3 linked regions of the Bombyx mori genome follow. Each later gene encodes a partner of the first gene's protein in a complex. Links are inferred from orthologs where the notes say so. Each region holds a gene or a part of one and is shown in the gene's direction. Other genes may lie near its edges.

Evidence for each region.
Region 2: folliculin (region 1) and ragulator complex protein LAMTOR3 homolog share a complex: the UniProt entries of both Homo sapiens proteins name them as parts of the lysosomal folliculin complex. The link is inferred for Bombyx mori from reciprocal best matches to the Homo sapiens genes FLCN and LAMTOR3.
Region 3: folliculin (region 1) and ragulator complex protein LAMTOR5 share a complex: the UniProt entries of both Homo sapiens proteins name them as parts of the lysosomal folliculin complex. The link is inferred for Bombyx mori from reciprocal best matches to the Homo sapiens genes FLCN and LAMTOR5.

The regions. Positions count from the first base shown.
Region 1 is NC_085117.1:9,050,340-9,054,555, reverse strand, and holds the start of folliculin, read left to right. Parts: upstream 1-1,304; 5' UTR 1,305-1,425; coding exon 1,426-1,692; intron 1,693-1,918; coding exon 1,919-2,104; intron 2,105-2,766; coding exon 2,767-2,902; intron 2,903-3,009; coding exon 3,010-3,263; intron 3,264-3,657; coding exon 3,658-3,835; intron 3,836-3,943; coding exon 3,944-4,046; intron 4,047-4,146; coding exon 4,147-4,216. UniProt on the Homo sapiens protein: Multi-functional protein, involved in both the cellular response to amino acid availability and in the regulation of glycolysis.
Region 2 is NC_085109.1:12,157,939-12,162,192, reverse strand, and holds ragulator complex protein LAMTOR3 homolog, read left to right. Parts: upstream 1-1,414; 5' UTR 1,415-1,566; coding exon 1,567-1,610; intron 1,611-1,927; coding exon 1,928-2,120; intron 2,121-2,853; coding exon 2,854-2,994; 3' UTR 2,995-4,105; downstream 4,106-4,254. UniProt on the Homo sapiens protein: As part of the Ragulator complex it is involved in amino acid sensing and activation of mTORC1, a signaling complex promoting cell growth in response to growth factors, energy levels, and amino acids.
Region 3 is NC_085110.1:1,232,992-1,237,320, forward strand, and holds ragulator complex protein LAMTOR5, read left to right. Parts: upstream 1-1,447; 5' UTR 1,448-1,552; coding exon 1,553-1,825; 3' UTR 1,826-1,828; intron 1,829-2,714; exon of another isoform or gene 2,715-3,175; 3' UTR 3,176-4,297; downstream 4,298-4,329. UniProt on the Homo sapiens protein: As part of the Ragulator complex it is involved in amino acid sensing and activation of mTORC1, a signaling complex promoting cell growth in response to growth factors, energy levels, and amino acids.

The DNA.
Region 1 (4,216 bases):
TCGATTTTAATTCAAGTTAGCTGCGAACAAAGAAGCAATAACGTTTGTGGCTCGTGCAATTTAGGCTAGCTTTTTGGCTCAAAGGATCATCATAGGTGTTTCTTAGACATTATACAAAGCCAGCCCTCACATTAAAATAGGTATGACTATCATCAACCTATCCTTCTCAATTAAACAGACCATTGCCTCGCGAGAGGTATACGCAAGATTGGTATCCGCTAGTGTGGACTAGCAAGCATTAGTACTTAAGAATAGACAAGGGAATTGGGCAGGAAGATAGTTGACCGTAACACTACTACAGAGGTAGTAGTAGCTTCAGGAAACCAGGGTTGTATACCTGCATCTAAATGATGGGCAATCTGTTTACCAGTTTCTATTAGGTATCTATATAAATAAAAATGAATTGCTGTTCGTTAGTCTCGCTAAAACTCGAGAGCGGCTGGACCGATTTGGCTAATTTTGGTCTTGAATTATCTTTACAAGTCCAGAGAAGGTTTAAAATGTAGATAAATATGAAAATTCTCGAAATTAAATTTAAATGACAATTTTGTTTTCCTTTGATGTGTCCCCTGTTGGACGGATTCCTTTTGTTTGTTTTAAGTTTATTTAATACAAAAGTTTAGGTATTTTATTTATCGATTAAGGTACTACGAAGTCTGCCGAGCCAACTAGTATGTAATATAAATCGTATAAAATTTTGCCAAAATACCAGTTCCTTGTATAAGATCTTTATATTTTATAATATAATATCTATGCTTTTTTTATTACTTAGATGGGTAGACGAGCTTACCGGAGCAACGTAGATGCTTCTACTCACCTTGAGACAAGAGTTCTAAGGTCTTAGTTGTAACAGTACAACGGCTGCTCCACCCTTCAAACCGAAATGCATTACTGCTTCACGGCAGAAATAGGCAAGAATATTATGCTGGGAGCGCCTGAGCCAAGTGTCGTGGATTTGTTAAATTAACGTTCAAGCTTAGTCGTAAAAATGTTAGCTCATTAATTGTTTAAAATTTGTTTAATTCTTTTTAATTTTATTCAATGTTTTCTTCTTTCTTTCAGACGGCAATAGGTTCCTTACGACGCGATTGTTGTCATCGCTAAGGTTATAAAATCAAAAACTACTATTTGTACTTTATTTTTATAATACATAGAAAAGGAAAACTTTCATCCCAATTTATTGAAGACTCAAATGAATCCACTTAACCTCATTTTGCTGTAAATAACTTTTCAAATAACAGAATACGAGAAAAAATAAGACTTGGCTTAAAAGTCTCGCTATCAGACCGTAAAATATTTTAAGTAAAAAAAAATGCTGTATGTCACCTGCCGTCAAAAAAATGTCAACAACTCTTCTATAATTTAACGTAATTAATCCAATATGTACATGATATTATTATAAATGCTGTAGTTACCATAAATATTATGAATGCTATCCTTACCCTTTGTCATTTCTGTGAAGCACACGGACCGCGATCTTTATTTTGCACGTTTACAACTGATAATGACGAACACATTACGGAACCTTCCAAAGCAAGTGTTCAGTGTACAGGCTGTGCCTCGTTAGGTCCTGAAACTGTTTTAAAATCTACAGACGACGATGGCACCATATATTGTAGCAGAGAATCTGTACCCAGTGCCGACGTTACGTCATTTCTGAGACAAGCTGCTATTCGAAGTATTACCTGTGAAGTAAGTATATTTCATAGGATTTACCTACATTAAATTGTTACTGCAGAAATATTTCGACCGTTTTCAATAACTTATCTCTTAGTATCAGAATCATATATTACAATATAATCACCTATATTTGTACATAAATAAATTTCTTAACAATGTAATACAATCTTACTTTAATTGGTCTCGTCCATTTCTTTATTATTATAATATTGATATCTAATGAAATTTATATAACTAGGTAAACTGGAGCAAGGATGGTGGCATAGTATATTTTAGTGAAGCACAAGGTCATGTGCTAAGCTTCACATTCCAGCTGTGCGATACACGAGCAAGAGGCCTCAAGCGATGGTTCTCTATACTGGTGCTTATGAAAGACAAGATGTTGCTCTTGAACATTACTCCAATGCTCTCTGAACACATGAAAGTAGGTTTATTGTAAGTGCTACATATTTGTGAATCACTAAAGAAGAAAGTTATATTAAATTCTTATTATTCTAAGAAAAATTGATTACATCTATTATTTTAACAATAAACAATCAATTTTTTAATATCTTTACCATGTGATCGGTCCTTCATGATGTGACTCTTGGTATTCAAATACCACTGACAGATACCCATTTAAAAATAAAAAACCTAATTTACAAAAGTTCATGAATGACTTCTGCAGTGAAGGAATATCACCATACAAAAAGCAGACTTGCAGTTTTTTTTCTTTTTTTTATTGCTTTATTACTGGTAGGGCGTTTTGTGGGCCTACATTGACAGGTACTAACATCGTGCCTATTTCTGCTGTAAAGCTGTAATGCATTTCAAATTAAAGGGTGAATCAGCTGTTGTACATTAAAAACTGGGACTTAGAACTCATTTTTCAAGGTGCATTAATGGCGATATTAACGTAGCAAGCTAAATTCATAGACCATTTTTTCCTAGGTGATCAGGAAGTCTCAAAAATGACTGCAAAAGATACCATTTACTGCATACACTCTTAAAAAAAATCCATTCCAAAAAAAACTCAACTGCTTTGAATGGATTATCTGCTTGATCCATGAATGTGCACTTATTTCATTGTTGCAATAATATTTTCAGAACATAGCTGCAGAGTTACAAAAATTGGCTGTTGCAGTTTTTGATGAGGAACAAAAAATTTGCTCACAGAGGGCATTGAGGTTAAGAACAGGGAGAAATGATTTTGGTCAGTCAAGGTCACTTGTTCAGTTGACAGGTAGGTACTATTCAGTTTTTTTTCTAAAACAAACATTTTGTAAAATCTGTTATCAAAACAAAACCTGCACTGCTTACTACACGCATCTCAGTAATCAATGTTTTCAGGAAACAAAGAAATATTCAAACTGTTGCACTCACATTTTTCATGGATACTAAAGGCAGGGGCACGTGTGTTTTCTGAAAATCTATATACCAGTCAAGATTTATTAAAAAAGATAAGTCCCATTATCCCAATTCTGGAGTCAAACTCAAGTGTTATTGAAAGTAAAGCAAAGTACATCCCTATGAGAGTTTTGGAGTCTATGTTATCAAATAATGTGTTCAGAGTAATGTTATTCTGTACATTGACCGGAGTGAATGTGAGTTTTTGAACTTTTTATTATATTAATCACATTATTAATATTCACAATATAAACGAACAAGCTGGTATTTAGTATTAGTTTAACATTATTCTGTAGAATCTGTACTGCTGTTTTTTTGTTGCTGTTCTTTTTTAAACCTGTTTAGAGCATGGAATAGTTTATAATTAACTAATATTACCAAAACAATAACATGTCTCAAGTAGTGCCATTTATGCAAGTAACCAAACAAATGGGTACACACTATTACATGGTCTATAATTTGGTCTGCCAATCTACAGCAGTTAAAAGGTATATAGATTCTAAAGCTAATCTTTTTTTAACATATACCAAACTTCTCAATTCAATTCATTGGTGGCATTTATTCAATATATATTTTTTTTATTTGTTTCAGATACAAATGCAAACCAATTTCAGGGATCCAGAAGAAATATTAATAAGTTTCAGGAGTTTACTACCAGAATTTGATTCATCAGCCAAACATAAAAAACCGAATACAGACCCTTGTATTATATCTGAAATAGAACATGGTAATTTTATTTCCAAATGGATGCAAACTTTACCTGTTAATTGTGAGTTTATTACTATTGAAATTAACTCAGTACTCACGAATAACTAAAGGGTTATATAATGATAAAAGCTATACATGATATGATTTATTATGACATGAATTATTCCAGGTCCAACGCTGATGAAAAAAATTGAAATTGCAATAAAAAATGAACATTTTAATGAAGCAGTTCTTCGCCAACATGTCTTATCATTGGTTTTACAATGGCAAGGGTAAATTGAAAAACTCAGTCCATTGGTTTGATACAAAAAACTAAAATATGGGTTTTGAATAGAATTTTTCTATTTGTTTTTTTGTCTTTGTTACTTCCAGAATAGCACAAGCTGTAAAATCAACCATGAAATCATCAGACAACAAAACAGATTCTGTTAAATTGAAACAA
Region 2 (4,254 bases), on another chromosome or scaffold:
TGACGTCACTATCCCGAAAATCACGAAACAGCAGAGTTACGTATACATGCTCCTGCTTTTGAACGTATTAACACAAACACCCCTTTAATACTCACGATACACAGGCCATGAAAAAGAACGCATATTGAGGCGAAAGAGATTTTTTATTCTTTTGTTATCATACCAAACTTGTAATTCAAGATATTGCAACATTCAATTGTGATGTTATTTAACACTTTATTGCTTCGCATTTATGAACACTTATTCTATTATAATTGGTTGACTATGCAAATAAATCTCTAGAAGTACAAAGGCAATAATTATTGTACCCAAAAATAAATTACGAAAATCCCACAACTTGTCAGTTCGATTCTGCCATTTTGGCAATAGACTTTAAAAATAATTTTTAATCTGTGTTCATTTACATTTGAATTTTTCGCTGTTTCCAAGTCAGTAATATTTATTAAAAAAAAAAAAGAATTGCTCGCTACTGACATTCTCATCTCATTTATTTTTTTGGGGATCCTCACGGATCACTTATCGGCATTTGTTTAATAAAATAAATAGTAAACATTAATAGACTTATGTGGGATTAGTATTCTATATAGATCCATATTCGTTGTATAATGAGCTAATTTTGAATTAAGCAACAGGCACAAATAGATTTTGTAACAGAATAATCATAGAATATAGGTAATCTGTGAACTTTCATGAAATTTCTGAAATTGGCCTAAAACCTTTTTTTTGGAGGGAACGCGAGGAGTGACGTTGTGTGAGTTGTTTTATTTTGTCAATTTAGTGTTTCTTCAGGTTTAAATGTGTAATAACCGTGGTTTATAAACTGTTTAGTATAACTGTGAAAGTGCACAAATGTGGGAAAATGAAACTAAGCCACTGAACGTAACTTCTCGGGATCCTCCAAAAAGTCCACTCAAAAATCTTAGTAAATGGCCACCATTTTACTGAGATTGTATTTCATCCCTTATCATCCCATCTCATTTCATTTCATGTTTCATATGAATGAACTTCATTTCATTTCACTTCATATTATCATTTTTCATACATAATAAAAATATATTTAAAATATAAAAGCTTAAGGCAGCGATTCCCAAAGTGGTCTATATCGACCCCTAGGGGTTATGTTATTTTATTTATAGTTTATTTTATGTTACGTATATTTTACATAACAGATACAAAATTTTATTTTGAGTAGTTTTAATTTAAATTCAATTAATAAATGTATAAATTAACATGGGTTTTATTTTAAGTTTTTAACACTAAACTTTACTACAGTTAGAAATTTACAGGAAATCAATATCAGGTAAGTAGGGGGTCTACCCAACACGGAAAAACATGGCAAGGGGTCTACGACACAAAAAAGTTTGGGGAACTCTGGTTTAAGGTATATACTAAGGTACCTTTGCCTGTCCAGTTGGAAAAACAAAATTAGTATTACTACTGGCGTAAAACCAATTTGTCAACTGTCAACATTAAAAAAATATAAACAAACCTTATTTTTTTCACAATTTAGTATTTGCTAGCTTTCCATATTTCTAAAACCAAAAAAGATTTTTCACTGTAAAAAATATGGTTGACGATCTTAGAAAATACTTGAATCATTTACTGGAAAAGTAAGAAAACTTTATAATTTACGTTTTTACTCTTTGGTTTTTCGTTTTATTATCTTACTTGCGACCCGCCCTAGCTTCGCTTCGGAAATTGTTATTTATTATTGATTTCTCCACTATTTAATGGATGTTATTATACACATAAACCTTCCTCTTCAATCACTCTATCTATTAAAAAAAACCGCATCAAAATCCGTTGCGTAGTTTTAAAGATTTAAGCATACATAGGGATATAGGGACAGAGAAAGTGACTTTGGAAAGTACGTACGGATGGATAAAAAAGAAAAACTATTGATGGCCTTAACTTTATTCTTTTTCAGAGTAAATGGCCTACATTGTATTTTGATTACCGATAGAGACGGTGTACCCCTTGTGAGGGCGGTAACTGAAAGAGCGCCTCCACTAGCTCTGCGTCCTAACTTCATATCCACGTTTGGAATGGCCACAGATCAGGCTAGCAAACTTGGGTTGGGTAGAAATAAAACCATTATATCAATGTATTCTAGTTATCAGGTTAGTTTTGAAAAAAATATACATTATTATTTTTAGTAAGTGATAAATATATAGTTATTGCGTGCTACCGAGTGCTACCAGGCAACCTCCGACGGAGAGCCAGCGCCAAACTATAAAAAAGATCCCTCGCTGCGCATTTGCCCTCTTTTTTGTGTGTAGCGTTCATGTACGTTTCTTGTTGAAACATGTTTTGGACTTGTGTAGTTTTTACAGTTTTCGTTAATGGTAGATTGAAATCATTTTGTTAGAAATTTTGTTTAATTCAGTGAAATATAATTAGACCAGTTCTGTGTAATTTATTTCTATTATATAAGAGGTTTAACTACCTCACTTCTGGTCAATTATAGAATTGTAGGGCTATAAAGCCTCCCTCATACATGGAGCTATTGTCGCTTATTGAGTGCTAGTTATTAGTAAATACATGATGTTGAAGAATGAGACTGCCCTGTTTGCCTGGAATGAGTATAATAAGTTAGTTAAATTTCTTTAGGTGGAATCATTGCTAACACAAGCTGTATAATAGCAAAGGAAGTCAAATCTGGGCACAATTTTGGGCTTCAGTCAATCAGTTATTATAAAAAATATCTAAATTTAAAATACATATTTAGAACCCTAAAATTATTGATAAATTATTTTAAATCGAAATATTGCAATCTTGAGCCATTCACAGTATAATAGTATTTCTAATATTTCTGTAATGTTCATGTTTAATAAAAATAATCATAATTTACAGGTGGTACAAATGAGCAAACTACCCCTAGTTATCACATTTATTGGAAGCGACAACTGCAACACTGGTCACATCTTATCATTAGAGAGTCAGATTGAACCGTTCTTGAAGGACTTGGAGGTGGTAGTTGCAGATGCACCTTGAATCAAACAAGCGAAACCAAAATATTTCTCATAAATTACTCATATAAACATGTTTTTAAAATATATCAAGGCTATTTGGTTTAAGCGACATTCATCTTTGTAATTAAAGGTACCTTTTAATTGGTATTAGCATCAAGACTTTGTTGAACTTTAATTAAATTTACTCCATTCTAATAGCAGAAGAAGTGTTTTTGTCTGATATATTTTTCCAAATTTTAAACATTTTGGCTCACCTGTAAAGTTTCAAAAATGTTGCTTAAACCAAATAGCCTTTTACAACTCTCTAAAATAGGTTTATTAAGGCTAATGTGGGATCGAAGTTACATATTTATTTTTCGGTGCTTTTATGAACTGTATATAGTAATATGAACATTGGCAATGCCTTGCGTTTTTTTACAATAATCTGTTTAGCTAAAGTATATTGATGTAAAATAAGTTATGTGGAACCCATCATAAAGTAATGCAAATCTGCAATTACATAGATTAAATGCAATATAAAAGTTTATCCAAAAACATTACATAATTGCATATATGAATATTATTCGAATGCTTTGAGTGCAAATACCTATAAAATTTGGTGTTGCCAGTGTCAGTTTTGAACTATAACATCTTCTTTTTTTAACTACCTACATTACTAACAATGATAGAAAAGTTTAAAAACTGAAATAATTTATATTAATAAGATGTATATAGAAGCAGGGTTGACTGCATATAGTTAGTAATGTGTACATATAAGGCAGATGACGTATTGGAATATGCAATGCAGCTTGATGCAGAGATGCAGTCCAATATTCCAGGTATTTGTTTAAAAAGTGCATTATATGATTCATTGATTTATGTATGGACATGTAGTGAATACGTCTGGTATGATATTTGCCTAAAATATATTTTTTCTCTAAAAATGTCAGTAGCTACTTTGATATATTACAACTAGTTTATGTGTATTATCTATTATCTATGGTTACAGTATCCCTAAATGTTTATTGGTGTTTAATGTATGTATATATAATTGAATTTTGGAATTGAAATTCTAAAATGCTATTTAAAGTGTCAAAACATATAAAGTTATAAAAAGGAAACTATTTACGTACCATTAAAAGTTAACTGTTTTAGTTCTTGTTTTCTTAATTTTGGGAATTACCTACTTGTATAGTTTTCTGAACGAATTTATCATTGAATTATTAAGTTATAAGAAGCAAACCTTTTAGCCAGATCAGAACTACTATCGTTCGGAAATTAAGGTTGGGGCAGCAACTTTAGG
Region 3 (4,329 bases), on another chromosome or scaffold:
TTAACGAAACCGGCTTGCTCTTGGGGATTTGCCAATCTAGGAAGTGGCGCAAGCGGGTGTTGAGAATGTACAGTAGAACTTTGCTGCAATGTGAGACAAGGGCTAGCGTGCGGTTATTGTCGCACTTCCTAGTTGACCCTTTTTTATGAAGCGGCAAAATGATCAACTCAGTCCAGTTATTGGGCCACTCGCCATGTTGCCATACGTAATTGCAGATGCTATGCACTGCATTCACACCCCTATCTCCCAGCGATTTAATTATTTCTGCCGTGATGTGATCCGGTCCTGGAGCTTTATTGCTCTTTAGTCGAGAGATGGCTTCTGTTACTTCTGATCGTATTATTGAAGGTTCTAAGGTTATGTCGTCCCAGACTGGGAGTTGTGTACTCATTGACTGAGGCTGATCATATAATCCTTCACAGTATTTACGCCACATTTCGACAACGGCATTTAAATCAGTGATAGGCTTGCCATTGGGATCTTCAATTATCCAGGATCTTGGTTTAAATTTCCGAGACAAAAGGCGAACTTTCTTGAACAAATAAGACGGTTGGTATTTTTGTGAATGTTTTTCGATATCAGTGTAAATGTCTCCAATGAAACAGCTTTTATCTCGGCGGCACGCTTTTTTAATTTCCTTGCAAAGGTCAGAATAAGTCTTCCTGACGTCATCATTCTGTAATCCCTTCACTTTGATGTCTTTCCTCTTGCTTATAAGCTTCTCTTGTTTGCTCCGAAATCCATACTTTGGTTTTTTTTCCGATTTGCATTTCCCTCTCTGCGGGAAGCCTTGATTTCTTCAAGGGATTCGCAGAGATGAGATTTTACGGTATCCCATTGAGTGTTAGCATCGCCTGTAGGAGGTTCTAGGGCTAGTTTTTTCTCCACGGCATCGCATAAGTATGTCCTTTCTTCCGGTTCCAGTGCACGTGGTCCTCTGATGGTTCTACTGCTGGCAGTTTTGTGTCGTAATGTAAATCTTTATGGTCAATTTTTAAAAAAACTACTACCAATTGAATAAGAACTGTCTGATGAATTCATCTTTGTTTAATACTTCACTATTAAATTTTATTGACTTTTGTTTATTTTACTTTTACACTAAACACTAAATATTGCAAATTACCCGAGCACAACAATGGCGGAGAATTTTAGATGCGTGAGAGCAGACGTAGACAGACGTAGACGCATGCACACTTAACCCAGGGAGAAAAAGTTACACTTTCTTTCCTGTACAGCAGGAGGAAAAGTTACACTTTCTTCCCTGTATAGCGGGACGAAAACCGAACTTTCGGCGTCGGTAGGAGAAAAAATTTATTTTCAATTATTTGTACCATTTCGCTATCGTAACACAAACACGGCTCAGTCTAACAAAAAACTTAGTTCTATACACGGCTTTATTTGCTTGTCCAACTAGACTTTAAAAAAATACATCTGTCAGTGCTGATGCTATGTCAAAAGTCAACAAAGAATCTTTTGTTTTGTTTCCAAAAGACAGTCGACAGTCGACTTTGACCGTGTTTTTTATAAATTAATATAAATTTGTTTAATAAAAATGGAAAACGATCTAGACAAAGTCGTAGAAGAAATCATGTCTATGCCTAATGTCAATGGCTGTCTTATCGCGGACCCACAAGGACTATGCTTGGCATCAAAAGGCGCCGCGCACGTAGACTCTGCAGGGATAATCGTTGCCATATCAGAACAGGCCTGTAAAATACAACCGAACATGAAACCGCCCACAGTTTGCCTTGAAACTGATAAAAAACAGTGCCTCATACAACGACATGGCACGATCACCGGAGCGATTTTTAAATTGAAAACATAGAAGGTACTTGTATATTTTATTTATTTATTGAAAATGTAATAATTGTTTATCATGATATGTATGAACGGCCTTGAACTTAAATGAACTCTTTGCTGTTACTTCACAACATAGTTTTCTATGGAACATGAAATTACTTGTAAGTTATGACATAAGTGAAATGTAATAACAATATTTTAATGTACAGGTAGCTAGCCCTACTATAACACGGTATTTTACAACACGATTCCACACTAACACGAAAAGATAAATTCCCCAAAACCTTATAATGAGATTTTTGTTATATAGAAAATTACATTACGCACTATGAACACACAAGTTATGGGAGTAACTGAAACTTTACTGCTTCATCATCATCATCATCATCAGCCCATCATCAGTCCACTGCTGGACATAGGCCTCTCCCAATCCACACCGAGGGTATTTTTTATTTTTATATAATATCATATATTATATAAAAACTTCTATTATTATTCTATTATTTTTTCTATTATTATTAATCTATACTAATATTATAAAGAGGAAAGATTTGTTTGTTTGTTTGTTTCGAATAGGCTCCGAAACTACTGGACCGATTTGAAAAATTCTTTTTCCATTAGAAGCCGACATTGTCCCTGATGAACATAGGCTACTTTTTTTTATTTTTTTTTATTTTTTTTTTTGGTTTCTGTGTGTTTTAATGTTTCCGAAGCGAAGCGAGGGCGGGTCGCTAGTAATGATTATAATGCAAGTTCTTGAAAATAAATCCATTCATGAAAAGAATAATAAGGATGAAGTCTCAAGATGGTGGGTGATAGCATTCACATACTCACATACATTATTCACACATACATTATTAGTAATTATTTAAGTTTCATTTACAGTTAAATAAAGTTTATTATTTGTTTTTCAGTAAAATAAAATTTAAAACAACATTGAACTATTCTGGTAAGCAAGCTATCCAGAAGATCGTGTATTATTCAGCCAAAAGTATGTTAACTTAACATCTCTCAGGAGGTTATGTCTAGTGATAGGAAATAAATTAAAATTATTATTTACTTTTAACTGACCCCCAAAATAACATAAATTTGAATACTTCTTTATCTAGATTTTAATTTCAAAATTTATCTAAAGTATTACCTACCAATCATAAAATGTAAAACCACATAAACATTGTATAATGTTATTTTAAAGAGAATAAATATTAACAGCTAAATTATTGTAATGGCTTACCACCATACTAAGTAAAAGTTTAACAATTATGATTAACATAATATTGTATTCCAAGTATAAGTTTTTCGTAACCACATAAATTCTCTAGTTTCTTCATGTAATAATAATAATGACTGGTTTTTTAATTTGCTTGTTTATTAGCTTTGCCTGTATGCATTGGAATCTTTGAACATTATTTCAACCCACCTCGAAACATTATATAATTGAAATTTAGCACACTTATAAAGGACCGCCCAGAATAATAGAATAATATAATAAGAGTATCCCATTGGACTGACCAGGATCTTCAGGATTATTCTCAAATAATATATAACATAGTATGTTTTTCTTTGGTTTTTGAGTTGTAAACATAATTTAAGTACTTTTACTGTTTAATCTTGCATTAATTATTTTTTGTTATAAGTTAAGTTGCTTTAGTTAACTAAATGATTGTTTAAATTAAAAACTTTCTTTTTCAGCTCGCTAAAAAATACTAAAAAGTAAAAAATATTTGTTAGATGTGGAAAGTTTGTTCTTATAGGATCATAATTTCGTTCTTATTTTAAAAGTTTTAATATAAAAATTAAGTTTAAGTAAGGAAAAGTATGGGGAGTGGTTCTACTGTAAGAAAATATTATTAATGATCATTTTGGTAGTTTTTCAATTACAGCACAAGAGCGCATTATGCAGCATAATGCTCAACGTTGAATGTTCCAACTACAGCAACGCTTCGCACAATCGAGCACTCTCAAAAGTACTGCTGATACTCGCAATCGGTACCAACTCAGTGACAGAATAAATTGACAAGTGTTTTTTCTTTAAGTTGGCATTGATCGAAATTTTGTTTATATTATCGTTAGTAATATTATTTAATGTTGAAAAAAAATGTAAGGCTTTCGTTTCGTCGTAGTTTCTTAGAAATAATCAATATTAAATAAAACTGTGCTAACTTAGCGCACTCTGCTGATGCATTTGAAAACTAATTGACTTTCCAATTAATCTTCAGCATAATTTGGCATTGTGCTTCACTGAGTCGCATTATGCTCTGTAATTGGAAAACTACCTATAACACTTATCATTTAGTTATGGACTATTTATTGTAAGATTTGATGTTAGGCACCCTACACTTTATTAACTTAAATGTTCCACAGGACAAACAGTTACTTAGACTGTGGATAGCCTTTTAAAAGACTATAGAAACGAAACAATTATTTTAATGTTAAGTATCTCTTGTTATTTTATATATGAGGTTTACAAATATTATAATATATGGTTTATGTGAAATGATTATTATTTTCCTAGTACGAGGCAAGAAA